Diceros bicornis minor: one gene and its partners. The protein of the gene in region 3 interacts with the protein of the main gene of each other region in a biochemical or structural test. Links are inferred from orthologs where the notes say so. Each region holds a gene or a part of one and is shown on either strand. Other genes may lie near its edges. The genes, in order: SMAD1, SMAD2, SMURF2 and RNF11.

Region 1 (7,366 bases), on a different chromosome or scaffold from region 3:
TTCAAGATCACATGAAGCATGGTTCAGGACACGCATCAGAGCTGCAAAGGTCCTTATCAGCACCCCCAGAGCATCTGTTTCTCCACTACCAAATGGAAAGCTATTTAGACAATGCAGACTGAACATCTCTGAGTTTATCTTCAATTTTTTTTGAAAAATTCAGAGTTCTGTAAGCCTTCTCCTCTTTTAGAAACACTATCATTCCCAGCGAGTTCAGCTTTTCCACTATAAACAAAAACTATGTACCACCCATATCTGAAGTATAACGCCAGACTCCTGCTTAGCTGCCCCTGTAATATGGTTTAATTATGATGACTGAACTAATAGGCTGACATCATAGACTTTTACAGGCTGACCCCATGTCATCCTGATGTATCATTTTGCACCAGTTCAGTGCCGTAAATCAATTTAAGATCTCAAGCAGGTTGAAAAGGCTGGTAATGATGCTTTCTCTGCCGTCTCTGGAGACTCTACATTATACACAACTTACATTATTTATAAACCCCAATGATGCCTCCATTAGCCTTGTAAGACTATACAAATGAGATCTTTTATACACACACAACTTGGCCTTGATTGTGTAGGCGACTGCAGCTAAAATATACTCGTCTAATTACACTCAAGTTTATTCTTTTTACAATCTGTTATTAAATTTTACCTTTAACCCAGGATTACTAGAAATCAAAATTACAAACTGAAATTTAGTTTTTAACTAATAGATGTATTTGGGAAAATGAGACTTACTTCCTTTTAATGCTTTAATGAACTTAGGTAGCAAAAATTAATTAAATTCCAAGAGGTGTAAGAGGTTAACATTTTTAATTGCCTGAAAATTGTCATTTCTCTAAAATGCAAAGGTCATCAGCTCATCAAGGGTATAAAACCAAAGGATACTGCAAAAAGGAAAAATGTATTTAGTTACATACCTATGGTTGGAGGAGTCAGAACTAAATGAAGGACAAATCCCTACCCTCAGAAGAAACCTGATCCTGCCTGGATCCTCCAGAGGCTCTGGCATCACCCACCTCTAGAAAAATCATCTCTCACGACCCTGGTTACAGTTTCCTAAGAATTGCAATATTACACAAATGTGCACCACCTGCACAGAAATATCAAATAACTGCAAATGGAAAAGAGGGTGGAAGGGAGGGGGGAGGAAAAGTACTTTAATCAGTACAGCATATTTAGGCCTGGCACCTACCTCAGAATAACAATGATGCAAAATATTTACACTAATTGAAAACGCTGGGGCAGTGAACAGTGATTCTGCCTCCATTCTTTTTAAACAGTGGTTCCAACACACCTCACCTACCTCCAATAAAACGTAAAGTGGTAATTATGAACAAGATGAAAAATCAACACAGGCAGAGAACAGTTTTCTCATTGTGTTTCTGAACGCAGGCATGCTCTCCACGACAGGCAATTAGAGCGAGAAATGTTCTGAAATTAAGGCATTCTGTGATTTAGCTGCTAAGTTTCAGCAAGAGGAAGACATACAGAAATCATGCAACTTCTGTATCATTTCACAGACGTTGAAACTTCAGATACAATGGAAAGAGGAGGACATATGGGGAAAGAAAAAGGCTCGTTGTCACAGCACTCACGAAAACGATGCTTTCTCAGGAGATGGTTCTGAGATGCGCCTCGATTTTCAGAAGGGAAGCGCCTTACTGGTTATCTTGCACCGTGTATTTAAAAATCGTCTGCGCCTCAAAATAAACAAAAGCCGCGGCTACTGTAGTTGTACGATCCGGCAGGCATTTGTTCCTCCTCCCTCCTAAAGTCCATCAAGGAAACGCTTTCCCAGGAAGCCTTCATATATATCAAGCAACCAGAAAAACAAGCCCACGTCTGTCTCGCTCACACCCACCACCCCCACCTCCCTACAGAAACAACCCCGAGAAACACTAACAAAGACAGGGAGCCGAGTCAAGGAACACTTGTTCAACCGCGAGCTCACAAATGCACATGCAGTGAGGCAATCGAATCCGGTCAAGGGAAAGGAATGAGACGACACTTGGAGACGGAGGGGGGTGTAGGCGGAAGAGGGGAAAAAAAAAAAAAATTACCCGCCGCCGCCGCCAAACCTTTGAATAAATTAGAGGGAATTTCAGTGCGAACTCTCCTTGACCTCCACCCCCAAGAGGCTCGTTGGGGCAGAGAAGGGGACCCGTCGGGGACGCGGAGGGGCCCAGGGCACCAGGTGTCCCGCTCGTGCGGGACCCGCTCCGCGCGGCGCCGAGCGCGTCCCGAGCCGCGCCGACAGCCGCCCTCCGGCGCCCGCAAGAGTGGCCCGGGCCGGCGCGGGACACAATGGGCCCGCGGGCCGCGCGGACGGGCCTCGGGCCGGCTGCAGAAACGGAAAGAGAAACGGGGCGCGGGCGGAGGGGGAGGGGACCCGGGAGGTCCCGCCGCGGGCAGGGCCGGGGCCGAGGAACGCGGCTTCCCCACCGCAGACCCAACAAAGACGCGCGGGGAACCCCGGCCGAGCCCTGCCGGGCGGGCTGGGCGCGAGGGGTGGAGAAGGTGGCAGGTTCGCTCATCCGAGCGGCCGGAGGCGCCATCATGGGGGGGGGGGTCCCGGTCCGCCCCGCACGGGGAAGAGCACCCTCCCGGCCGCAGCCCGCGCCCCCGGCGCCGCACGGCCGCGGCAGCCCTGCGGGCCCGCGCCCGCCGCAGCGGAGGCGGCGGCGCTGGGAAGCCGGGGGAGCCGAGGGGAGGGCGGGGACGCGGCAGAAGGAAAGTTGGTTTCGGGTCTGTTTCGTTTTACCGGGTTGGCGGCGCGCCCGTCCGCGCAGGGGCACGAGTGGCGGGGCGAGCGGGGTCCCGCGGCCCCGGGCTGGCCCGCCGGGCGCTGCGCCGCGCTGCGCTCGCAGGGTCCCTCCCTGCGCCTCGGCCCGCGCTGAGCCGCTCGGCCTCTCCTTCCTCCGCCCGCTCGCTCCCGGAGCCTGGATTGATCTGGTCGCGCTGGCGTCAGGGAGTCGGAGCCGCCCAGCCTCCACTCCTCGGCTGCCAATACCCGGCGCACTCGCCCGCCCGCCCGCTCACACGCGCACCCGCGCGCCGCCGCCGCCGCGCGACCAGGGATCCTCTCCAAATTCCCGGCCCGGCCAGCGCAGCGGGGCCTGAGGACGGCGCGGGCGAGCGGCCCGAGCCACCTCCCCCGCCCCCAGCCCCACGCCCAATTTATTCCAACGAGCAAAAACAACTCCGCGCGTTCCGACTTTCCTCCCCCTGCCTCCTTTAGTCCCGGTGGAGCGGACTTGGTGCATTATCTGCGAGGGAAGTTCTGTGCTCAGTGTTTATTATCTGGAATGTTCATCAGCACGTCCACCGCGCCCACCGAACCGTACTACAAACGTGGAGCGCATTTTTGACAATTGTCTTTCGAGCCTCGCCTTTTTATGTCTCGTTTTCATTGCCCCTCACTCACTCCCCAGTGATTTGCAAGCCCCAGAAGTTGCACGTACCCAGAATTGAATAGCTAGTAACTATTGCATGTGCTTATACCAAACCCTGAATCAATACATGGGTTGTGCGCCAATTTGGGATCTGAGTCGAGTAGGTAACTTCGTTGCTCAAAATAATGACAGATGCCACAATAGAACTCTAAATTTCTTATCCAATTTCTGCAATCTTTTAGATGACACCAACCCCTCAAATTAAAAACAGACTAGCTCTTCTCTACCTGATCTGCATAGACGGTGAAAATATATTTTTGTAAGAATTACATTTTCTCCTGGCCAGCTCCCTGGAACCTGGCATGAAATCTTGGATAATTACCATAATGTTGAGTTATGTTTAGAGACAAATAATTATTCTGAGGAGTAAATTTCACATGAACCAAAAGAATCATTACCACTAATATAAAGAAAACATCAAAGACCTCTGTAAACTAATGGTACTCTCCAATTGTTCCTGTATGTTTACATGTCCACATTCCATTTAAATTCTTGTTTATTAATTATTTTATTTCTGCATTCCATGTTTAATTATTCAAAGGAAATGCAACAAATCCCATAAAACACATGAAATACCAATTATAGATCAGAGTATTTCTGTTAATTTCTTTGTTAAGCTATTTGAGCACTTCCTGGTCAATTGTTGAGCCTCATCTTATTTTCCCTAAAAGCAGCATTGACACAGTTCATCATTCTCTGCTCCCGACAGCTGGAGTAAGCCTTGTTAAATGCCACTCAGATCAGGTCATTCTTCTGCTCAAAACCTTCCCTTGGTAAGTGGAATGTGCTCTATCCATACAAGGGAACATCATTCAGTCATAAAAAGAAAAGAAGTACTGACACATGCTACATGGATGAACCTTGAAATCATAATGCTTAGAGAAAGAAGCCAGACACAAAAGACCACAAATTGTATGCTTCCATTTATATAAAATATCCAGAATAGGCAAATCTGTAGAGATAGAAAGTAGAATGGTGGTTACCTATGTTTGGGAGAATGGGGAGGTTAGGGGGATAGCTAAAGGTTATGGGGTTTCTTTTTTGGGGTGACGAAAATGTTCTGAAATTAGTTTGTGGTGATTGTTGCACGACTCTGTGGATATACTAAAAGCCATTGAATCGTACACTTTAAATGGGTGAATATATGGTCTGTGAATTTTATTTCAATAAAGCTGTTAAAAAAAGGTATGACAACTAAAAGTAGTGTACTATCCTTGATTGGATCCAGGATTGAGTGGAAAAGCTATAAAATGACATTATAAAACTGTTAATTTTTTTAACCTATAGGTGACCTTTCTTAGTGCAGTCCTCGTAGCTACAAATGATCATTATTAATACTATGCAAGCTATGAAATTTGATTTTTGCCCCTTGTGCAAATTATTTCTTTAAATAGTAATAAAAAAAATTGGACTTTTTAAAAGAGGACATTATTGGGACAATTGTGAAAACTGGAATGTGGGTTGTATTTTTTTTTTTTCTTTTGTGAGGAGGATCAGCCCTGAGCTAACATCCATGCTAATCCTCCTATTTTTGCTGAGGAAGACCGGCTCTGGGCTAACATCTATTGCCAATCCTCCTTCTGTTTTTTTCCCCCAATGCCCAGTATGTAGTTGTATGTCGTAGTTGCACAGCCTTCTAGTTGCTGTATATGGGACGCAGCCTCAGCATGGCTGGAGAAGCGGTGCGTCGGTGCGCGCCCAGGATCTGAACCCGGGCCACCAAAGCGGAGCACGCTCACTTAACCGCTAAGCCACTGGGCCGGCCCTGGGTTGTATATTATTATCATTATATCAAAAAAAATTTTTCCCTTGACTTCCCATTTCACTCAAAATAAAAGTTCTCACAATGTGGACAAGAGTCTACACGATCCTTCCTCCCTGCCCTCCGTTACCACTCTGACCTACTCTCTCTCTTGCTCACTTCCTTAAGTCACCCTGGCCTCCTCACAAATCCTGGAACAACCTGGGCATACTCTCACTTCAGGACCTCTGCACCAGCTGTTCCTCCCTGGAAAGCCTTTCCCAAGATGTGCACATGGCCCTCTGCCTAACCTCCCTCAGGTCTTCCCTCAAGGGTTCCCCTCTGGATGAGGCCTACCCTGGCCACTCTACCTAAAATCTAACATCCCCCCGCCCATACCACTCCCAAACACATACTTTTTATATCCTCTTCCTTCCCCTGTGTTGTATGGATGTTTCACTTATCACTACCTAACTACTTAGCCAAAAGTGCAGGATTTTTATATTTTCTATTATTTCTATTATTATTTTATTATTTCTATTAATTCTATTATTCTGTTCTATTATTCTTTTTCTACTTAGCCAAAAGTGTAGGTCTGTTCTGTTCATTGCTAACCTCTCAGTGCCTAGAGCAGTGTCTGGCACCTAATAGCTCACTAAACACCTGTTGAATGAATGAATGAGTGAATGAATGAATCAAACACTGTTCAAGTCACAGGGGATATGGTGGCAAACAAAACAGATAAAAGTCCCCACTCTCATCAAGGAAGACGAATAATGAATAAATACACAAGTATGCTAGGTGGTGTACACGGGATGGAAACAGCAAAGTAAGAGGGATTGCGAATGGGAGAGGCTGCTATTTCTATAGGGGTAGGGAAAACGTCACTGAGAAGAGATCCTGAATGAAGACAGAGAGCATGCTACATGATCAGGGGAGGATTTCCAACCTCCCAAGCAGAGGGAAGAACAAGTGCAAGGACCTTGAAGTTGAGTCGTCTTCACCCATTCACAGAAGAACCAGAAGGCCAGTGCACTGACGCAGGGAGGAGCCGACTGCAGGAGGGAAGGCAGTGTGTGGGTCCAGGTGCGCACAGGCTGGTGGCTGCAGAGGTGGGAACAGAGGGACATTGTCTTCTCTCTGCTTCTGTTAGCTTGATGAAATAGCCACGGACCCTACTTCCTGAGAATGGTGAGTGTAGAAGAGACGTTGCAGGTTGGAAGAGAAAGGAGTGGATATCAAACAGTTATCTTCTGGGAGAGTTTGAGAGCACATGAGCTACGGAAATGTAGTAGGATAGCCAGGCAGTGCTATTACGTGCCCATTTGAGGTTAGTGGTTATGAATTTAAAGCAAGACCGGTCAGCACGGCTGTGGATTTTTCTCTAGCCTCGGTCAGCCTAAGGGGGCAGAGCTGGGGTTTTGCAAGTGGGTGTGATGGAAGGAAAGAGGGTCAGAGAGCAGAGGGTGTAGGCAAGGGAGTGACTGTGGGGGGACTGGGATAAGGAGGAAGGTGAGGACATAAAGAAGTGGGGGGTGATGGAAAGGTGATAAGATGGATGGATAGAAGGTCCCAGTGGGATCCAAGAACTGCTTCAGTTGGGAACCCCTCCCAAAAGCTGGGGAACGGTCTGAGAACAGGACGCTTGAAATTGAAATCATGGAACTGGGACAATTTTGCATAATGCCAAGATCTAGCAGTGTGACCAGATAAAGTGGATGGCTGAGGTAGGGAGGAGGACAAGATTCTCAGAGAAAAGAAGGTATCAAGGAACCGAAGGCAAATTAATTACGCTTCAAATTAATTTGACAAATTAACCATTTGTCAAAAAAATCAACTACTAATCATTTACAATAAGGAGAACCCTTAAAATTGGCTGCAAATTTTATAGGTTCAAAATGTGAACCCCAAAATTTATTTTGAGAGATGGTTCTAATCAATGGAAAAATAAATGTAATGTCAGGTTTGTGCGTCAGCTCCTTAAGTGAATTTAAGTGAATCAGTTTCCCTGGAAGAATCCTGCCAAGGATCACTGATGTGGCATTCTTCGCCTTAAAAAGGAATGTTCCAGTGATAACTATGGTGGGGGGAAAGGTATAAATTATGAATTTTTGATGTTGAAATCCTTATTCTCTCGTCACACCCTTTCCTCCAGAAAACTTTT
Region 2 (7,392 bases), on a different chromosome or scaffold from region 3:
ATTATGCTAATATGCTTGAAATTTTCCAAGAGTATTATACCTTCATACACTTATCTTGCCTAGCAGCACTCTGGTTCAGTCGATATTGTCACACACAGACAATAATCATCAAGGCATAAGGCCCTATTGTTGATATATGACTACCAAATTGTCCCCCCTTACAAGAGAACTGTAAACAATTTGTACATTGTTCTCTCACGGTTTAGACATTGGCCCGTTTAGTTTTTTTTGCAAAATATGTAGATGTCAGATAATATTTAAATACCTTTATGGGAGTGCTCATTGCACTGAAATTGTATTGTAATTTTCCAAGTAATATTTGAATAATCATTGGATTAGCTATCTAATGATCAACTGACTCACTGATTATTTATGCCTTTAAATACATGGACAAGAAATATAATATTAAGTATCAGACGCCTGGAGAATGGTGCGAAATGTAACTTGTTTTCACCAAATATTTTTCTCTCAACCAGAGCCAACTTCTCTTTCAATCTCTTTCTCTCTATAAATCTAAAAAACCTTACTTGTATGTCTTGTTTTCTTGAGGATTTTGGCCATAAAATAAGAATTTTCCAGCATGATCAACCAATGCTTTTATGATAGGCACAAAACAGATACCTGATAAACACTTGCTGAATTTAATTTTTTTCTTGTATCTACTTTATTCTTGTCTCCAGCTTTTCCCATCAGATGTTAAATATTTTTTTAATTTTAATAAAAACCAGCATGTGAATAAGGACTGTGTGTGTGTGTGTGTGTAGAGGCAGGTGTATACATCTTCAACATAAGTTCATTTAAAACATGAAATTCCATTGTAGCGAGATAAAAACCCAGCTGGTGTCGGAGTTCTTCATTATCATTTACGACAAAAGTAACCCCATACATTTGCTCTTTACAATTTTTACTTTGGTTATCTCATTTAATCAGTGTCCTTTCAATTGCAAATAACTGGACCTTTAAGATGTAGTAATGCTCACTACAACTTAGTTCCACCAGGATAAGCAAATATAGAGACTGGATGTTGACATGATACTCTACAGTTGTATTAAGGACGGAGCAAAGCTGGAAAGAATGCTTGCAGACCTATGACACACATTTTCCACTACACAAATGTTGAATTTCACCTTTCTTCAATTACTTAGTATTTATCTTAGGGTGTGCAAAGACGACTGACAACAAGATGCTGTCCTTGCCCTTCAGGAATTTACAATCTAAACGAGGAGACAAAACATACACACAAGTAAAGTTAAAAAAAAAAACCCCTCAAGACTAAACTAACAGATCAAGACACTAATCAAAGTGAAGTCATGGTATGTAAATTATTCCAACCATTAGAGAGCATTCATAGGATAGTGATATCCTTTCGGCTGGGGTAACCAGGAAAGGCTTTTCAGATTTATCAGAGAGGAGATGGAGTATGAGTTCTATCTTTTGAAAAATCAATACATGGATATATATATATATGTTTTTTTAATTCAAACTACAGAAAATTAATGATGAAATTTAAGTTTTCCACTCATGACTCCAAGGTTCTTTTTCTAGAAGCAACCACCATTATCATTTTTCTCAGGTGTCATTCCATTACATTTCACTACTTTTAAATGGATTCTGAATTGGTTTTGATTTAATTGATTTTGCAGTGTCATGCGTGATGCAGGGTTAAACTCGGTGTCTATCCACATAAAAATAAGACTCACTCAACATAATTCATACAGTAGGGACCTAATGATAGGTCTTGAGGTACCTTAGTGGATTTCCAAGTTGGTTGTTGCCACGGCAATCCTGCTACATCCACTGCCAGTTTCTGTCTTGACCCACTTTGGTTCAGATGCATTTCTAGCAGAGCGCACCGTAGACAGGCTCTGGTTCCTAAGCCCTTAGCACATTGCATTGGTAGCCAGATGCTGCTCCTCTCCTTCCTCAATCCTACAGATCCTGGAAGGCTTCCTAAATGGAAGGGTTAGGGACCCAAAGTTTGACACTTTGGAGACATGGTCTAACTTAGAATTAAGCATATTATCCACTGTATTAACGTATCCCTCAAAGTACCTAACTCCCACACTAGGAGCAGATTCTCCTGGAATTCTGGCTAGCCCTGCTTTTGTTTCTTCTCCTACTCACCCACATGGACACCCAAACGCACACCCTGGTCACATAGGAGAAAATATTTGTGTGACCCAGGGTAGCTTTTTATAGGCCATTTCATACTAAAACTGTTGACTTGTGTTAGCAGGAAGGACCAAAAACTCCAAAACAGTCTTTCTACTTCTAAATCAAACAGCCTTTGCCTTAGACCATCCTCCTGGGTGGCTCTGGGAAGTGGACACAGAAGTCTTGGGAGGTGTAACAGCTCCACCAATTGGCTTCCGGGGCCTCCTTCATGAGCTATTTTTAAAAAGCAGTGAGTAGAGCTGCCTCTAAACTGACAATGAAGAACTACCCCCGAGGTAAACTTCTGAAGGAAAAATTTCTGCTGAGTAGGTTCATCTTAGCATAAATGCATGCAGGCAACACAAGGGAAGAAACCATAACGATTATGGATTTTCTTTTAACTTCAAAGACTCGTGCTATTCACTTTCATATTTCTTATTTTACTTAATCATCCCACAACTATATTTAAATAGCTATCAGTGCAGGTGAGTTCTACTTGCCAATGACCACAGATGCGGAACAGAGCTGCATTCAAAACTACAATTTGCCTAACTCCAGGGTTCATGTGCTTCATCACAATCTTTTGATGAGAAAAGTACTTCCATGTTTGAGGAAAGAGATGGTGGAAATGAAGGAGATTTTGAAAGGAAATCTGGAAAACCTGTAAGACTCAGAGGATCGCTAAATCCGTCTCTCTCCAGGTCCATCTGAAGGCATCGTTCCCCGGGAGGCGTTCATTTCTGAAAAGAAAGAGGACACTTCAACAACTCTTACTGTTTGAAATGGTCACTTGGTACTTCCTGCTTAGTGATTTGTATTGCTAGTGCCGCCTTCCCGCTTGTTCGTCTTGAGTCCCCAATTAAATCCATGAAGAAAGGAGGTACACGAGAAGGAGTGCTGACAGGGAGGCAAGAAAACCGTGTTCTAGTCTTGCCTCTGCCACCAACACCTCTGTGAGACCTAAGTTTCTTTCCAACTTTAGTTCTATAGTGCTCCCTGCCTAACATAGTAGGTGCTTAATAAATACTTGATGTGATTAGTTGGGTTCAATATTTCAGCGAAGGCTTGGGTGTCCGTAAGGTACAAGCGACAAGGTTACCCGAGTGCGGTTACGCCCCCACCAGCTTCAGGCAGCCAGCAGCTTAGGGCCTTGTAGCGCAGACGTGGGAAGTTGGGGCTTAAGAACTTCGTCTGAACAGTGGAGAAATGAAGGAGAAAATAACCCAGCATTCACGGGGCATCGTGCTAGGCGCTTATCTTTCAGACTTCGCAAGGACCATCAGAGCATGCATGATTAACACCATTAGACAGAACCAAAATTCCGGTTAAACAAAAATACCTGGCATCCCCTACCCTGGCCCTAATACCCATAAAAGCCCCGCCCTGGGCTTAGTTACTTCTCGGACCTCGCCCCCATTAACCACCACCACGGCCCCGCCCACTCATTCGCATACGGGCGCGCCAAGTGTGGGTCGGGGACCCCGGCTTCTGCGGAGCCGCCTTCTGCCCTGACTCGTCCCGTCCTCCGGGCGGCCCCCGGGCCTCCCCAGGGGATGAGCACGTATCCACGCCCGGCTTGATTACGGAAGGTGGACCAGGCGGCGGCCCCCAACAGGCCGCACCCAATGGCGCTGGCGAGACACCGAGGAGGGGGCCCGGGGCCGAGGCAATGAGGGACGGGTGGTCGCCAGCGCCGCAGATTACGTGCCTTCCCCTCCCTTCCCTTCCCGAGCCTCTCGTGCAGCGCGCCGGAGACGAAGTCAACCGAAACCGCAGCCGTCCCACCCCGCCTCGTCCTCGGCCGCCGGGCCGCCCGCCTGCCCGCGCCTCGCCTCACGCTCTACGGGGGAGGCGGGACCAATCAGCGAGCGACGTCTCCCTTCCGATTCGAGGCCCCTGACGCGCGGCTCACACCCCGAGCACCCCGCGCGCTGATTGGTTGCCCGCGCCGCCAGTCCGGCGGGAGGGCGGGCCGGGCCGAAGGGAAAGGAGGTGGGGAGGTAGTAGCCCGCGACTCTCCGAGTCCCGCTCGCGCCCCGGCCCTTCCCGGGCGCTCGACCTCCTTTTTCCCTCCTCCGCTCGCCCCGTCTTCCGTGAGCGCAGAGCGCTGCGCTCGGCCGGCGTGCCTCGCGCCCTAACGGGCGGCCGGGGGCGCCAATCAGCGGGCGGCAGGGTGCCAGCCCCGGAGCTGCGCCGGCGAATCGGCGGGGCTCGCGGCCCGGGGTGGGAGGCGGGTCTACCGCGCGGCCGCGGCGGCGGAGGAGCAGCTCCCAGCCAGCAGCCAGCGAGCGCGGAGCGAGCCGCCCGGAGGTGGGTGCGCCGCGCCGCTGTGGCCGGCGGCGGAGGGCGCAGGGCGGAAGCGGAGGTGGGCCGGCGGACGCGGCGGCGGAGCTTCGGCTGTCCGGGCGGCCCAGGAGGTGGGGGGTGCGGGCGCGCGCCCGAGGGGAGGAGGGGCGGCGGCGGCGGGACGCGCGTCCCCACCCCCTCCTCCCCGCGGGCGGCGGCCGGGCCCGCGCCCCCTCCCCGCGCGCCGGGGCCGCGGGCCGGGCACTGGCTGGGGGGCGGGGCGGGAGGCCGGGCGACCGCGAGAGTGTTTTCAGTTCCGCCTCCCATCGCCCATTCCCCTTTCCCCTCATCCTATTCGGAAGAGGAAGGAACAAAAGGTCCCGGACCCCCGGCTCTGACGGGGCGGGACCCGGAGCCTCGGTGCAGGTACAGCCGGGCGCCCGGCGGGCCCCGGGGCCGGGGGTGTGTTTGTGTTGGGCTCGAGTCGTGAGGCTCGCCGCGTCACATGGCCACGGGCTGGGGGCTGGGGTGTGGCGAGGTCGGGGCAGCGCGAGCCCGGCCCTTGGGTGCGGAGCGCGGGGCCGGCCGGTCGGCCGGCGGGAAGGGGTCGGCGCCCGGAGCTGCCCGCCCGCCGGGCCCGGGGCCGGCTGTGGCCCTTCCCTTCCGCCGCCAACACACTTGGTAGTTGGTCCTGATGTTCAAAGCCGGAGGGACAGAGCTGTTGTTGCAGGAGTTGTTGGGGAGCCGTGTTACGAGCGTGTGTTGCTTTGCTTCCACTTTTTAATTTTTTTCTGGTCCTGTAACCTTTGTGAACCATTGTAGTCTCGGGGTTCCGAATTGCTTGTGTGTGCTCTCACACAAACACGCACACTGGTGCTGGTACTCTGTCGAGATTCTTCTCTGCTCACTTGTGAAAGTTGCTCTGTGAGTGGAGCCTGTTAGTTTTTGTCACACGCCTTTAGAAAGCACGCTAATTGATTTCACGTATTTCAAACTTCGGTTTCAAATTTGCAACTTTAATTGTTCTCTCCTGGGGGATACTGTCCTTGGGTTGGGTATTTTTGTGTTTTATTGACTTAACCCTTATGTGGTTGTGGTTTCCTTTTGATCCTAAACAAAAGAAAAACAATACCTAGGTTGGTTTTGGTATTCCTTCCTCTTGACCCTTTAAAAGCTAAATACTACCGGTTTCTTGTCAACTAAACCTTTATTTAAAAAAATCTCCATGTAAAACGAATTTGGAAGTAGTATTTTCTATCAGCGATGTCTTATTTGTTACAGTTTGGAGTATCCTAAATTTTGGTGTTTTAAACTTTTAAAACGGCACATGTAAAGTAATTGTTAATGAATAAATAAATGATCACGCAGACTTAGAGTAATTCCATCTTTCTAAAAGTGGTCCCTGAAATTTGAATTAATTTCTAGAATTCTGAGTGATTCTGTAATCTTAGTTCCTTTTCATTTTCTCGCTTCTGTTTTCATATGAATTGAGCCTGTACCACAGATTGTAAGGATGTTTTTCTTAAGCCTAAAAAGATGATAAATTTGCTGTCAGTACTCTGAAAATACATTTGCTGTCATTCTGGTTTTGACCTCCTTTTAAAAAAAGATTTCCTTACATGAAAGTGTAAATCAAATAGTTAAATGAAGTTTGAGGAGTTTTAACGTGACCAGATAAATAAGTGAAGCAAATAGAACAGAGATGGGAAAAATAATGTAGATTTCATAAATGTATTGTAGTTTGAGAATTTTTTCATTTGCTTAAAAAAACCCATATGGGATATTGATAGAATTTTCTCCACCAAAAGGTCGTTTAGCAAACATTTATATTAAATTCAGAAAGTAACGCTAATTTCGTTTTTAAAGTTCCTTAGTTTTTGCCGTAAAATTAGTTGTGGTAGTAAATAAGAATAGTTCAAGTGTGTGGGCATGTGTAAGGTAAGTGCCCCGTTATACTCTTAATGTTAAAATTAAATGAGTTTAAAGTAGTTCATTGGCCAATTTTAATTAATGTAATGTGACTGGGAACATCCGTTTCTGGGCTTGTTTTAGTAGGAAATTGCTCTTAAAGCTTGGTTTTTATACTTTGTAGCTATGCTTTCTAAAGTGATTTCAGGTTATAGGTGTTAAACAAAAGTTTGGTTTTTCAAGGTTGTAACTTACCTGTACCTAGTAATAAGTGTTCAAATCTCTACACAATCTGTAAGGTTCATGAAATAATAGTGTTGTAAGAAACTGCAGGGCAATTTCCTGTTGTTTGTGGCTTGTCAGGCTTGGTATGTGTTTTAACTCTTAAGAAAGAATTTGGGGATGGTTTTGTATATTTCAGCAGAAATTCTCTTTAATAGGAACAAAGGTTGTTTCTACTTGAAGGTGGCAAAAGGTCCCCTTTTCATTTTTGTATTATAAATATTGGAATCGTGTTGCTATAATCTTGTTGCTTCACAATGGGAAAAATATGTGAGTGAAAAACACTCTAGCTGCATAATCTGCTGATCAAAGACCTATTGAATTTTACCTTTTGCAAATATTTTCAGTTTTGGCTTTATAAAGATCTGAAAGCCCTGCTTATTCTTGTTTGGTTTTGATTCTGTTGGTTTTGTACTTTAGGGTTCCAAAGGCCTCGTTTTGTAGCAGCTTTTTTATACAGGTGTTTTTGTAATGCATATAAAAGCTGTATTTAGTGCAGTCTGGCAGATGGTGGTTTATTCATATTCTTGGGACAAGAGTCATTTTTAGAGGCTGGAGAGGGGCATGTCTTTTGGATTCCTTGTCTTTTGATGGGAGTAGAGGAGCCATTTTTAAGCTCTTAGTTTCTGTAAGAGGAAAGATGTTTTCCACTGAGTATTGCCAAGGTATGTCAGAAAATGTGAAATAGAAAGATTTCAAAACCAATTCAGGAGAGGTTATGCATTTATTCAACAAATAACTTGCATTTATTGAACAAGTAGC
Region 3 (7,833 bases):
CATTTTGCATGTATGTGTGAGTATGAGCGTGTGTGTGTCATCACACAAGAATTGTTTACACCTTTCAGTAAAGGGGCACCTCTACATTAAAGATATAATTGAGTAACGATAGTTCATAAAGCACCATGGAATCAAAAGCACTCTATAAATTTAAAATACTAGTACGGTATTAACATAAAGCAAAGAACAATAATTTTAAAGCATCTTACAGCCCAAGTGTATTGTAAACCAAATAGAAATTCACTGTGGGATCTGCCTTTTTTTCAGTGATTTTCCTCTATTATAGAACCCGGATCTAAATGAACTGTTAAACACTTAGTCTAAAGGTATGCCAAACATTTCTTAAGGTCTTAACAAAGAATCAGCTTTTTTTTTTTTTAAAAACAAAATGAGGCCTAGGTTAAATATTTTATTTGGCTTCTCAAGATGGACTGAAAAGTTGGGCACCGGCTCCAGACCAATTCCTGGACACACATCAAACACAGCCCTGTCATTTATCCAGTCAGTCAAAACAATCTTTTCCATCTAACCCTTTAATGTTTATGTCCTAAAAAGCTGCTAATTGAATCCAGCTCTTGAGATCTATTTGTTAAAATCTATACCATCTAATTTGTAAATGAACAAAAATGAAAAAATATATGTTAGTTTTCCTGGCAAAACAGAAGAGAATCCACCATATGTAACCAAAAGGGAGAGGGCAATGTTTTTAATATTTAAATAGTTTTCTCTTAAAATATGTCAGAGACAAATTCCCAATGGTTTTAAGAAATTAAGAGTACCTCAAACTGTTTTTACAATTAAGGGGACACAGTGTGTTTAAAATTCCTCAGAAAAATCTAAAAATACCAAATCACTCTATAAATTTAGTCGTGTTTCCTCTCCCCCCTAAAAATAAGTGTAATCTTTTCTAACTTTACTCATGAATTTTTATAATGTATCATATGCAGTAAGAAAATTACAGATAAACACTTTAAGATCTATTGAGTCACATTAAAAATCTCAAACTCATTTTATCTGCAGAAAATCAAAATCCCTGTTTTTTCCTTCATTTTCTCATTATGTGAATAGGCTAGAAGGAAGTACATGGCCAACATCCTATTTCTGATGCTTTTTGCACACCTGGACTCACAGGTTCTTTCCATGATCACTGACACAGGACTGACTCCAGAGAGGAACAGCAGTAGATAAACTCTAAAGCAACAAAGATCCCTTATAAAGGTTTTCATTGATTTATAAGAAAATAAGGAAACTGGGGGAAATAGGGGAGACAGGCATCCCCCAATCCAGGTTTTCCATTAAGAACCACTCAGTTAATGATTCTTTGCCATTTTCCCTAGGGAAAGTAAAACTGTCGTGAAAGTAATATATTTTTTAAATTGCAGCCAACATACAGTCAAGCTAAATTCTCAAATACCAACTTCGCTGCAAGTTTTTATCTCCAAGTTCAGCCAGCGGACCAGGATGTGACACACAAGCATTCAATTACAAAATTAGTCCATATAAATCTTAAAGTCTAGTATAGGCAAACATAATTATAGTTTATTCTTACACGCGCACCCACACACACACAGATCCTCTTATGAAAACCATCTTTCTCACCACACATCCGAATATCAACATGGATAATTTATTAACACTGAATGGTGAAACTAGGATAACTACACTGATTTCAATTACACTTCTCAAACGAAAAATAATTTTTTCCTAAAATGGGGTAATGCGACCATGTAAGAATACCAAAAATGGCAGCGTAAGCAAAACGTACCTGTAATGTTAAAGATTCAACGTACTTGGAATCATAAACACTTTGCAAGAGAAGCCTTCTATCTAGCAACCCCTCCAGACATTCTTTTCCATTTAGAAAAGGGAAGGGGAGGAGAGTGGGGAAAGAGCGATTTCGCTTGAAAGTTTGTATGAGCACATACTGAGAAATGTACCCAAAAAAAGTGTGTTCTTAAAGCAGGTCTAGAGTTAGAAGTGAGACACAAGTTCTGCGGCCTACAAGGAACAACCCATGTTGTTCTACATGTTACCCTACAATCAAACACTTCCAAAACACAGAGTGTACAAAGAGCCCGAGTCGTCGGATCAGGCAGACACACCGGAAAAGTCAACCTCAGTCTCCTTCCCTCCCAACGACGTGCGTTTCAGGTGTGTGGCGGCGGCTGCCGCGGCTGGCAGCAGAGAGTGAAGGCTCTACACGCGGGCATAAGTGGGCGAACAAGTTACCAACCAGGGAACACACACACACACACCCTCCCGTTAAGCGCTCCATCTTTAAGGAGTGTTTACTGCGCGCAGTCGGCAACCGGATTCAATAATCCCCGCCACAGGAGTTCCTCATCCCCTCGACCACCCCACCTGGGCAGGAGCCCAGGGGCTGCTCCCCGAGGCCCCGGGACAGAGTCGTGCTCCCCGGCCAAGGCTTTTCGACCTCATATCCGCCCGGAATTCCAACCGGGGGATCCCTCCCCTCAACAAAAGACCCCAGAGTCACCCTGGGCTTTTTTACGAATTTCCAAACAAGGGAGAGTGGTTTTGCCATTACTCTCCCTGAACTAGGCCTTCCCACGTCCCCGACCCCCAACTCACCATTGATCGCGACCCTGGCCCTTCCCAAGGCCACCGACACCCCCCGCCGGCTCGCCCACCCCGCGGCTGCCCCGGCCCGGACCCCGCCGCCCGCCCGCCCCCCCTCACCTGTCAGGCGCAGCTTGACGGGCCCGTTCCTCCGGCCCCCCGGGTTAGACATTTCCCCGGCGGCGGGGGCGGCGGCGGCGGCGCGGGGCCCGGGGCCCGGGGCCGGCGGGCGGGGCGGGGGCGACGGCGAGGCGCGGCGGAGTCACCACAGCTGCCGGGGCTGGGGCCCGAGCAGCCGGCGCCGCGGCCGCCACGGCAGGAGGGTCCCGGATGTGCCGAGCGTCGTCGCCATGAGCCGCGGAGGGAGCGGGACGCCGAGCTCCCCCCTCCTCCCACTTCTCCTTCCTCGGCCCGGGCCGCACAACAAAGCGGCAGCCGCGGCCGGCCGCACCGCCTCCGCCCGCGCCCGCGCCGCCTCCACGCAGCCGCCTCCGCCTTCCCCTCCTCTCGGCTCGGCGAGACCCAGGAGCCGACGGGGCTGGTCGGCTGAGGCGGGCGGTGTTCGGCGGCGCCGCAGCAGGACTCCGGGCTCGGCCGCTTCCTCCTCCACCCGCCCTCTTGTCTGAGCGAACCGGGTCCTGGGGCCGCCGCCGCCGCCACTCGTCGGCTCCGGGGGGCGGGGAGGAGACGGGAGGCGGGGCCGGCGGGGCGGGGCGGGGCCGGCGGGCGGGGCCTGGGCGGGCGCGCGCAGGGTGCCCGGGGCGCGGGGGCGCGAGGCCCGGGCTCCGCTTGGCCTCCGGCGGGCAGGACGGGCGTGGGCTGCAGCAGAGGGTCCCACGCAGGAGTCTAGGAGGGAGCGGGCCAAGGAACAAAGTGGCGGCGCGGAGCTCTGTGGCACCAGGAGGGGCTTGGTGTCCAGCCCACTTAAGGGAGAGCGTTTGTCCGTGCAACACGGACTGCATTTTTTAGACGCCCACTGCGTGCAGGGCACTCTGAGAGGCTGGGGCGGGCAAGGTTAGAGCCGAGTCCGCTGCCTTCAGGGAATTGAGCGTCGCTGAGGTGAGGGAAGAGACGGTGTTCCCACACCGAGGATTCCAGCAAATCCCCAGGGGTGTTTTGCTCCTGGTATCGTAGTTGCCACCTCCATCCAGGACTCACCTGGTGAGCGAGATCAGGTTACCTGCCTGCTCGGGCTCTTTTTCCAGCTGTAGCACAAGGAGAGGAGGATGATAATAATGCCTTAAAGGATTATGAACAAGATAAACCTTGGAGAGCAATGTATGAAAAGCTTTTCATACAGTACTGTATTTCCTTATCTCAGGGGGAAAAAACAGAAAATGAAATAAAAATAACTGTACTTTACTCTTTGACCCTGTAATTGCACTCTTAGGAATTTATTCTTGACGTACAGTAATACAGAAGATATTCTTTGCAAAGTTCAGTTAAATAACAAAAGGAGGAATGAGCAAACAGTCTAATGGCGAATTATATTATATTAGCATGAGTTATTTTTATTTATTTATTTTTTGCTGAGGAAGATTAGCTCTGAGCTAACATCTGTTGCCAATCTTCCTCTTTTTGCTTGAGGAAGATTCGCCCTGAGCTAATAACATGGTGCCAGTCTACCTCTATTTTGTATGTGGGTCGCTGCCGCTGCATGGCCCGGGGGAGTGTTGTACCGTCAGCACCTGGGAACCGAACCTGCGCTGCGGAAGCAGAGCTGGTGCAACCTAACCACTACGCACGGGAAGGGGGAGTGAGGCCCGTGGGGCTGGCCCCTGGCATGGATTTTTATGCAGCCATTTAAATGGCAATTATGAAGACCATATAATATGGAAGAGTTTACAAATGAAGTTTAAAAGCAGATTGAAGAGTTATATGTATGCATGCAAAAGTATCTAGCACAATGAAAACTAAGGGTAACAGCATAGGCGATTTTTTGTGTACTGTTAGTTTTGCTTAAGGCTGTTAATGCAATTTTAAATGTTTAATAAAGTCTAATATATTTTAATCCTAATTCAGTATCAATCATTACTTTTAATTCATCAGTAATGTCACTTCATTCTCCAGATGAAGTGACCTCCAAGAGCATCCCGTCAGTCTGGATACAGCTCTACAATTAAAATGATCCAAAAATTATATAAAGTGCTAGAAGTTAGACTAGAAATTCAGGGGATGGTGCTAGAAATTCATTCAACAAATACTGAGTGCCTCCCATGTGTAAAGCAGTGACCCAGGTCCTTTAGAAATGCTTCTTTGTACTACAGAAGCCCTGAAGATACACTAATCAATTTGAACAGTAGCTGCTATCACAACTTAAAACACTGGATGGGTAATGGCAATAAAACTTAGCAAATTGATATATACGTATACATTTGCCTTATTGTTATGGCACGCCCTTTGTTCCCAACCACCCACTAACATAATTGGTAGCTTTGTATTAGATAATAAAGTTAGGATTTCAGAATGTGTGGGGAAGCTGGAGAGATTGCCTGTTGTGAAGTTTAAAGCACTACATTCAGATATGTAAGTGATGGTGCAGAAAAATGTATACGTACTTAATATGCAGGGGAGGACTCTGTTTAAGCTTGCCTGTGTATGTTTAAATCTTATTGTTTAAAATAAAAGATTCAGATAAGAATAATACTTTAAAACATTCATACTGTTAAGGAGAGCTAAACTTTCATTAGATTAAATTTCAGCATTGGATGTATAGCATTGCTTCATCATGGCAACACTTCTAGACATAATTTTTGAGAAAAAGAGGGAGGAATAACAATTCTTAGGGAATTCACCCTTTTCTTTCTTCCTAAAATAGAAATCCACTTCCAAGGTAAATTGTACCTATACATGTCTCTAATGGGTATGGGAATTGCAGAAAATCTTTTCAAAGGCTTTTTATTCCCTTATGACTTCTAATTTGCTCTTGGTAGAATTGTGCACCTTTTATCAAATCATTGTTTTAGGCATCTGTCTCAAATATACTAACTCCACCTATTTCATACCAATAAAATATGTCTTTTTCCATAAATGCCACTTAAAAGAACCTTCCAATGAAAATGCTAACAACCACTCATTAAATAACATTTTTGAGCAAAAGTTTTAAACTTTTCCATTAATGTTTTTTAATCACTGTAAGTTGCACTCTTTATGATGGTATCCTAGACTAGAGGTGAAAATCTACACATGGTTATAAGAATATTTAAAACTTTTTGTTTAAAACTTGTTTCTATTTTCCAAGGCTAATATTAAATCTGATGTGACGTTGCAAGAAAATGCTTACCATCTGTAGTTGGTTTTTTTCTTCTGCTCCAGCCATTAATATATTTTTTACATAGAAGAGTTGTCTCCAGTAATAAAAAATCTGTCTGAGGTAAGGTTATGTTAATAATGGTACTCCTGTGAAGCTATTTTTGTAGTGTAAATTTCAGATTTAATACAGTTTATGTGCCATGGAAAAAGCAAACGTCAGGCACTCAGCAGTTTCTACCACTGCTTAAAATTCAACTTTCTTTAATGTTTAAAATGTCATGAATTTAATTTAATTTAATATCTACTTCTAGCTTCCTCTATTCAGCTTACAACTGATGAAGCAGCCAAGCACAGCCCCCCCCTGTACTTGCTGTTGTCAACCTGACCCTCCTTCCCTCCCCCATCTTCACTCATTTCCTCTCTGCCTCTGCCTGTCCCAGGTCCTTAGTTAGGTTCACTGAAAACCCTCATGTGCCATCCTGTCCTGACATGGTTTAGGATTAGGTTGCATTACAAGCTGCTCTCTGTGACGCCTTCCCTGACCCCCTCCCAGCAGACCTCGTCCCTGGTGATGGAAGCTGAGGGCACATCAGGGACCTGTGTCTCTCCAGATCTGGGCTCCCTGGTGCCATTCGCCTTGGCTCTTGCCTTCTCCGCCTCTACCCTGGTGTACTAAGATGGTAGTCCCTACTTGCATCTCCTTCTGAGGGAATCTGCCCTCACCTACTGTTGTAACATAGTGTCCTAGGCCCCCTCCCCAGAGATACTGATTCAACAGGGTGGGGTGGGGCCCATGAATTTGCATTTCTAATGCTGCTGGTGGGGAGAACCCACTTTGAGAACCACTGCCTTACATCAAGGATGAGCCTGGGTGGCCTTATTTGTGTTAGGTGAGCGTGGCCTCAACTAACTGAGCCAAAGGTGGGTGGCTGATCAAGAGGCCAATCAGAGTCTCTCTCCTTGGAATATGTGACAGAGATACTGGGAGGCTGTTAGCGGTGGGGAGCTGGGTTGAGAGGTCATAGTGTTAGCAGCTGAGGAAGCCATTTTAAGGTTCCAGTACATTAAAAAAAGAGGAAATGAGGGCCGGCCTGGTAGCATAGCGGTTAAGTTCACGTGCTCTGCTTCGGCAGCCCGGGGTTCACAGGTTCGGATCCGGGGTACGGACCAACTCACCGCTTGTCAAGCCATGCCGTGGCAGCGTCTCATATAAAGTAGCGGAAGATAGGCACGAACGTTAGCCCAGGGCCAATCTTCCTCACAAAAAAAAAAAAAAGAGAGAGAGAGAGAGGAAATGAGTGTGTAGAAAGAGACTAACAAAATAGAGAGAAGTGGAGATAAGAGGCTTCATAACCCTAAAGAGAGAAACAAAGAAAGTGATTGTCTCACAGATTTCCTGCCAGTACTCCTGGCCCAGGTGTGACTTCTCACAGTTCATTTCCAAGGGATCTCACTGTGCAGAATAACCACCTCACCCCTTACTTAAGCAAGTTTAAGTGGGTTCCAGTCCCTTGCATTCACTTGTCTCCACTTGGAACACCTTTTCCTCTTCAGGTCTGTCCTAAGCACGTCCCCAAACACCTTTGATTGTCTGCCTTGCTCCTGCCTGTGTTCTTCTCCAGAACTGAGTCTCACCTGCAACCCGGCCTATAGCTTGGATCCTACAACCCAGGGGCAGCACTTCTAGAATCTAGAGAAGTCTAATACATATGGCTATCGTGCTCTTGAAAAATGGCTAGTGATGTGCTGCAAGTATAAAATGCATGTTGGATTTTGAAGACTTAATATGGGAAAAAAGAAGGCAAAATATCTTATTTTTTATATTGATGACATATTGAAATGGTAATATTTTGGATATATTGGGTTAAATAAAATATAGTAGTAAAGCTAATTTTCCCATTTCTTTTTACTTTTTTTAATATGACTACTGGAAAATTTGAAACTACAAATGTGACTCACTCTATACTTCTCTTGAACAGTGGTGATCTAGAGGATGATGAC
Region 4 (7,191 bases), on a different chromosome or scaffold from region 3:
AAACTCATTTTGAGGGTAAAATAACAGGTGAATTTGCTTTTAAGTTGACATAAGTGTATCTTACCACAATTAAAAAAATGGAAAAAAAAAACCCTGTACACAGATGTTTATAGCAGCTTTATTCATAATTGCCAAAATTTGGAAGCAACTAAGATGTCCCTCAGTAGGTGAACGGATAAATAAACTGTGGGACATCCAGAGAGTGGAATATTATTCAGCGCTAAAAGGAAATGAGCTATCAAGCCGTGGATAGAGCTGGAGGAAACTTAATTGCGTATTACTAAGTGAAAGAAGCCAACCTGAAAAGGCTACATACTGTATGATTCCAACTATATGACATTCTGGGAAAGGTAAAACTATGGAAACAGTAAAGAAATTAGTGGTTGCCAGGGGTTAGGGGTGAGGGAGGGATGAATAGGCGGAGCATAGAAGATTTGGGGGGCAGTGAAACTATTCTGCATGAGGCTATAATGGTGGATACATGTTATTATAAATTTGTCAAAACCCATAGAATATACAACACTGAGTGAACTCTAACATAAGCAAGGATTTTGTGTGATAGTGATGTGTCATTGTAGGTTCATCAATTGTAACAAATGTACCATTCTGGTGCAGAATGTTGATAATGGGGGAGGCTAGGCACGTGTCGGGGCAGGCTGTATATGGTAAATCTCTATACCTTCTCGATATTGATGTGAACCTAAAACTGGTCTAAAAAATAGAGTCTATTTTTTTAAAAATGTGGCTCAATAGAAGATACTGGATTCTCATATCTGCTTCTGCATTAGATCTCCTGCTGTCAGAGAAAACCAGAGCCAGACAGAAGTTAAAGCAGTAAAGGCAAATTTTATTCAGGAACTATTGCAATAGGGGAAGGGAGACCTAAGTATAGAACTGGACTCCATTCTGAATACAGAAAGGACAAGTGGGGATTTATGGGCAAGGAACAGGGTGGGAGTCAGTGGATGGAAAATCACTAAGAGGAAACATCAGGGATAAGGGGAATTCTGGTTAAACCTACTTGATAGGATTTTTGCTGAAGGCAGGCCAAGGTGGTCAGATACCAAGGATGGAGGATTCTGGCTAAACTGACTCAGCTAGATTCTTGCTAAAACTGGAATAAGTGGCAAGGACAGAGCCCAAGGTTAGGGCCTTAAGGGCTTAGAGGAGCCCACCTGGAGTTAGGTCATGGAGAGTTTTTGTCACTGCAATAGTCCTGGTTACTATTTTCAATTTTAAATTGTGTTTTGTGAGTAGGTCATACTCTCTGGTCTATAGGGCATTTCCCAAGGGCTCCTTTCTAAAGCCCGGTTAGGAAAAAAGATCATTGAATAGCTACTTCCTTACAAAGGTACTTGTGGATGCCAAAGGCATTCAAGAGAAGTCTTCTCCTATTTCCTTATTTTTACACACTGAGGGAGGAATATCAGGATGAAAAAGACATAGCCCCTTCCCACAACCTAATAAAGGCAACTGGTATACGATTCAAATCCTGGCTTTACCCCTGAATAGCCATGTGAAGCCATATTTCTATTTCCGTAAAACATGAATATCAATACATACCTTTCAGGGCTCTTATGTGTCTGGCTCAGGCTGACAAATAGCAGTTATGATTATATATACTAAAAATTGTGTTAAAATATTCATACATGATATATAGATATACGCAATATAATACAATAATAGATCCCATTTATTTTGTATTGTTACATATATTCCAACTAAGTGAAATCAAGGACAGCTACATGAAGAAAGTGATATTTAAGGAAGGTCTTAAAAGATGGCTGGATTTCAATAGAAGCGAACAGCATGGTAAAAGGTCAGAGGTGGAAAAGTATAGGGAAAATCGAGGGCATGGCAAGCAGAGTGATGTGGCTGGAGTTAGGATGCCTGGTCGAAGTCGGAGTCAGAATCACACAGGAGGTGAGGATGGGACGAAATGGTGCAAGGCCTTAATGCCATGCTAAATTTCTGAACCAAAAGTCTATGAATGCTCTCTGATCACACTTTTCATGGCAATAATGTGGAGAATGGATTGATGGTGCAGAGGCAAGGGTTTCATTAAGAAGCTGTGGCAGGGCCCGGCCCCATGGCCTAGTGGTTAAGTTTGGCACACTCTGCTTCAGAGGTTCAGGTTCAGTTCCTGGGCGCGGACCTATACCACTCGTCAGCAGCCATGTTGTGGCAGCGACCCACATACGAAAAATAGAGGAAGATTGGCACAAGTGTTATCTCAGGGCAAAAATTCCTCAAGCAAAAAGAGGAAGACTGGCAACAGATGTTAGTTCAGGGTGAATCTTCCTCAGCAAAAAAAAAAAAAGAAGCTGTTGCAATAGTTCAGAGGAGTCAAGGAAAATGGCAATGGGGGAAAAGAGGCAAATGCCAGAAATTTTCCTCCCAAAGGATCCAATAATTGCACTTTTCCAAGCTAGAGAATGAAGCAATGATTCTTGATGTATGGAAGACTCTGATATAAACCCAGCATTAGGGATACACCTATTTATGTGGGAGCTATTAACGGGAAGGAAGGCAAGTCTAGCAGAAGAGGGCATACAGCAAAAAGGCTATATTTAATATGGAATATGAAAGCATTTAAATAAGTGATTTTGTAAAATAGGGACGTTTCTATTCTACAGTAGAACAGAAAAGCACTCAGGCCCATACTAGTTTAACACAGTCCTACCTCCAAGAATCCTCTCTGATTCTCATCCAAATGATCTAATCACTCTCCTCTGGGCCCTCTAAAAACCTTTGATGACGGGAGGCAGAAGGACTCATCTGTTTACTTGTCTTACCAGCTGGACTCTGGGCTCCATCAGGAACAAGTCAGGTCTGGTCAATCAGTTTCCCTAGTGCCTAGCATAGGGTCTGGAGCAAAAAAAAAAAAAATCAGTAAACGGTGAAAAAAAGAAATGGAGTCAAGACCAACTTCTTGTCTTCTTGTTGAATGAATCACTCTTAGGAGCATTCCCATCCTTCTTGTTTCCTTCCTTTGCACACATTGCTTCTTGAGCTGTTTGTTCATTCAACCCAGAAGAGAGCCTACTCTACCTTAGGCAATGTGCCAGGCTTTGCACAAAAAGAGGGACAGATGATTCAGCTTGATCAGGCTGTGGCAGAGAAAAGCTCAAGGACTGAGAGCACAGAGGAGGTGACTAACCCAGACTGGAGGGTTAGAAGAGCCTTCCCAGGGGAAATGAAGCTGAGTCCAGGAACGACAAGTGGGAATAACAGTTAGCCTGATGGGAAGTAGAAGGCTGCGAGTGGGGAGAAGTGAGTTTCTGTCAGAGAAACAACATGGGTAAAGGCTTCAGCCAGAGGGAACAGTTTTCTAGATAACCGAAAGTACTTTATTTAGACAGCCTAGAGTTTAGAATAGGTGACGAGGCAATGCTGGTAATGAGATTGGGGAGGTAGTCAGATTTGAAAAGCATTTAAGAATACTTATAACAGTATCGGGAAGCCATTAAGGTTTTAAACAGGGGAGTGACATGATCAGATTTACATTTTAAAAAGATAATTCAACTGTGCAAATAGTGGATTGGATGGGGGCAATGGCGAATGCAGGGAGAATAGCTGAGAGTGTTGCAGTAGTGTGGGCAAGAGATAATGGTGGCTTGGACTATGGTGGTGGGAATGGAAAGAAACAGAACAATCCCAGATATACAACTGGAGGAAGAATCTCTCTGGTTGTGACGGACGAGGATAAGGAAGTGACTGGAGACAGAGGGGAAGGTTCATTAGTGAGCTTGGACTTTATTCCGAAGGGATAAAGGGGAAGCCAATTAACATTTTAACCTAGGGAGCGACAGAATCAGATATGGGTTTATAAATAGATCACCCGGCAGAAGGCAGTGAGAAGCCCGTCAGAACAGTGCACAGGTAAGAGCTGAGGTGAGTGGAGAAGAAGAGTATATGGGAGGCGCGAGAGACCGAGAGAGGTTTCGGAGTCAGGTACCCAGTCAACTGTCAAAGAAAGAAAGAAACTGACGCAGCCCAGGAACAGCTGGGAGAGGGTGGGGGTAGGGGGGTGCGGCCGCGCGGCCGGAGCTGCCCACGCCTCCCGGCGCCGGGGGCGGGACCAGAGCACGCAAGGCGGCATGACGCAGGGCCGCAGCTGGCCTCGTTCTGGGCGCCGCCGCCGCTTTGAGGCGGAGTAGGATGAGGCCCGCGGCCGTGGCTCCGGCGTCGGCAGGGGCAGCAGCAGCTGAGGCAGCAGCTGAGGCAGCCGCGACGGCCGCGCCCCCCCCTCCTGACCTGGATTAGGCCCAGCAGCTCCGTGGCCGCCGCCGCCCCGCGGGGGGGCGGGGTGGGGAAGTGCTTCGTCTCCCCGCCCCCCCCGCCCCCCATCGCCGCCTCACGGGAGGCAACCGCCGCGACCCCGGCGGAGCCGGTGGCCCAGCCTTGAGCCCCCACCCCCGGGGACTGGCATGAGCGGCCCTTCGGCGGCGCCGGGGGGCGGGGGAGCCGCCGCCGCCGCCTGAGCCCCGGCCTGCCGCCCGACCCCACCTCGCTGACCGCGGCTTACCGCGAAGCGTGCGACGACCCCGCCACTGCTTTCTTACTCCCCCAGATCACACACCCCAGCTCCGGAAGATGGGGAACTGCCTCAAATCCCCCACTTCGGATGACATCTCCCTGCTTCACGAGTCTCAGTCCGACCGGGCTAGTTTTGGCGAGGGGACGGAGCCGGATCAGGAGCCGCCGCCGCCATATCAGGTAGGGGAGGGTGTGTATTTGGGGAGGAGGGGGTGCGAGGAGCAGAAACAGCTCCAGCCCAGATTGAGGGGGCTTCGGGGCTGTCACTGCCCCTGGCCTCGGCAAGGCCTGGCCTGGGGGGCGTTGACCCCCTTAGGCCTGGATCCAGGAGTGATTGCTCCCTACTCCCAGAATAGAGGGGATCCTTCACCTCTCCCTCGAGCATGGTGTGGGGATGGTACCCTCTGTCCTTGAGTTCTGGGATCCGAGTATGTGATCATAGCCCCTTGGCCAGTGACTGGTGGTTAGCTTGTGGAGTTTGGGAGTGACATTTTCCTGCCTTTATGCCTGAATCGTGGAATCTAAGCTGTGAGGTTTGGGGATGGTTTTCTTATCGCACCGGCAGCTGGATTGTGAGTTCTGGATAGGTGGTTGCCCCCCGCCCCTTTAAATTTTCATGTGTGATCGTCGTGTCCTGTCTCCCTCCTCCCCTCCTCCCTTGTCCGTTTGTGTCAGTTGGATCCGGTAGATGTTCATTTCTCCTTCTACTTGGGAGAAGACCTTTAAGTGGTCTTCAAGTGATTTTAGTCCCAGCGACATCGAGAGTTACTTGTTTACTTAAATGTATATATTAATTTTTAATCCCTCCTCCTTTTGCCCCACCCCTATGACACACCTTTTAATCACGCTGACTTAATAAAACTTGATTATCTTGAACTTTGGAAACCTTTAAACCTAACTTGAGAAATACCTTCTGTTACTCGTTTGTCTCCGTATGTAGCAGACTTCCTCCTAAATAGTTTCATTGCTTTTTGTTCAACAATCAGCAGCCCCAGATGTGTTTACACAATTAATAAAGAGCTAAGACCTCTTGAGAAACCTCAAAATAGATACGTAGATGTTATAATCCGTAATATATATAAAACCTTTTCCTCTGCTTTTTCGATTTTAAATGATGTTGATTAAAAACTTTTTCCAGAAGGGCTCGGGTAGTTAAGTGGCTTAATGTTTTTCCTGAAGGAGGTTTAGTTTTCTAACTAGGCAGTTTCCTTTGTTGTTTCATGTGGTGACATCATTATCTAGTGTTATTCTTTTCTCATTCTTGTGTAAACCAGTGTCTCATCACACCAGAAAAACCTGATCACTTTTGCTGGTTTTCTGGATAAAACCCTTCAGGGGTTTCATATATACCAATGAAGTCCAGTCTTAACTGTGTCATACAGAAGCCTCCGTGACTTCTCTCACGTTCGGTATTCCAGGCCTACCAAATACACCAGCCTGTTCACACCCCTCTGCCTTTGCTCCAGTTGCTCCCTCTGCTTGGAGCCCTTCCCCCAAGGTCAGCCAGGTGAACATCTAATCTTCTTTGAGGACTCAGCTCTCTTGTGTCACCTGCTACCTGAAGTTCCTGTATTTCCCTCTCTCCCCCCTGAATCCATGCACTTCCTTGTTTGTGTCCCCCCCCCCCGAACCCTCCCTCTACGCTTCCATGAGCAGCACATATAACACTTGAGTGTTTATCCTTGTTTAGTTAGATGTATGTCTCATCCTTGGGCATTTCCCTCCTCCCTCAGTGTAAGCTGCATGCAGGTGGAGACCCTGTGTCTCCTGTTTGCTCTTGTATCCCCAGCATCTGGCTCACAGTAAATACTCAGTAACTCCGGGATAAGTGAAGACTATAAGCCCTTGAGAACAGGGTCTCTGTCCCCAGTGCTTCCAGCAATTTGTGGAATATAAGAAGCACTTAAATGTTGAATGAATTAGTGAATTTGAATTCCATCTTATGTTTCGTAAGTTTACACACCCATTTCTTACAAAGAATTGTCACAGGGGAAGTCTTAAAAAATCCAAGCTAAATCTGGATGTCTTTCCACATCTTTGAAGCAATTGAATTGTATTTCACTCTTCGTTTCCCTCATAACGTGCTTATTTCAGTTTCACGAGCAAATTTTTTTAGAGGTATGAAATTTTATTTCAAAATCTCCTTACACGTTCCCTAGCTCCTTTCCAGACAAGTTGAGTATCTTTGATTTATTGCCCTCTTTCTCTTATCCTTATGATAATATAGTGTTAAGGATAACTCTTTAGAATTTATGGGAAGTGTATTTGCCTTTTCCAGGAGGACTAGATGATAAGGAGAGTTTTGTTGTTATCATGAAGGAACATTCTTTGAAACATGTTATTTGTGACAGTGGGATTTTTTTGTGGTTGCCTTTTCCTGAAGTGAATGACCCAGATACTGATATGCAAATTTGGTATCAGTTGGAAGAAAATAATTTCTTTAAAAGATGGTAACATAAAAAGAAACTTTTGTGGAAAAAATTTTGTCACCCCTGAAGGAAATAAATTCTTAGGAATGATTAATTTACATGATCTGAAAAACACCAATCTAAGGTAAATGATTTATATTTTCAGTGAACAGAAGTAACTTATTTTTTCTTCAGAAATAGTATATAATTAACAGAGCTGCAGGAGTATTGGCTTATTTCTTTA

What was found.
Region 1: the proteins of SMURF2 (region 3) and SMAD1 form a complex in vitro, tested with the Homo sapiens proteins (2 studies listed by BioGRID and IntAct, with this or other methods). The link is inferred for Diceros bicornis minor from reciprocal best matches to the Homo sapiens genes SMURF2 and SMAD1.
Region 2: the proteins of SMURF2 (region 3) and SMAD2 form a complex in vitro, tested with the Homo sapiens proteins (3 studies listed by BioGRID and IntAct, with this or other methods). The link is inferred for Diceros bicornis minor from reciprocal best matches to the Homo sapiens genes SMURF2 and SMAD2.
Region 4: the proteins of SMURF2 (region 3) and RNF11 form a complex in vitro, tested with the Homo sapiens proteins (3 studies listed by BioGRID and IntAct, with this or other methods). The link is inferred for Diceros bicornis minor from reciprocal best matches to the Homo sapiens genes SMURF2 and RNF11.

The regions. Positions count from the first base shown.
Region 1 is NC_080750.1:34,663,959-34,671,324, reverse strand, and holds the start of SMAD1 (mothers against decapentaplegic homolog 1), read right to left. Parts: upstream 3,018-7,366; 5' UTR 2,771-3,017; intron 1,947-2,770; exon of another isoform or gene 1,605-1,946; intron 1-1,604. UniProt on the Homo sapiens protein: Transcriptional modulator that plays a role in various cellular processes, including embryonic development, cell differentiation, and tissue homeostasis.
Region 2 is NC_080755.1:40,633,151-40,640,542, reverse strand, and holds the start of SMAD2 (mothers against decapentaplegic homolog 2), read left to right. Parts: upstream 1-4,381; 5' UTR 4,382-4,464; intron 4,465-4,782; exon of another isoform or gene 4,783-4,866; intron 4,867-7,392. UniProt on the Homo sapiens protein: Receptor-regulated SMAD (R-SMAD) that is an intracellular signal transducer and transcriptional modulator activated by TGF-beta (transforming growth factor) and activin type 1 receptor kinases.
Region 3 is NC_080757.1:47,385,870-47,393,702, forward strand, and holds the start of SMURF2 (E3 ubiquitin-protein ligase SMURF2), read right to left. Parts: upstream 3,019-7,833; 5' UTR 2,753-3,018; coding exon 2,701-2,752; intron 1-2,700. UniProt on the Homo sapiens protein: E3 ubiquitin-protein ligase which accepts ubiquitin from an E2 ubiquitin-conjugating enzyme in the form of a thioester and then directly transfers the ubiquitin to targeted substrates.
Region 4 is NC_080752.1:13,656,420-13,663,610, forward strand, and holds the start of RNF11 (RING finger protein 11), read left to right. Parts: upstream 1-4,171; 5' UTR 4,172-4,596; coding exon 4,597-4,719; intron 4,720-7,191. UniProt on the Homo sapiens protein: Essential component of a ubiquitin-editing protein complex, comprising also TNFAIP3, ITCH and TAX1BP1, that ensures the transient nature of inflammatory signaling pathways. Promotes the association of TNFAIP3 to RIPK1 after TNF stimulation.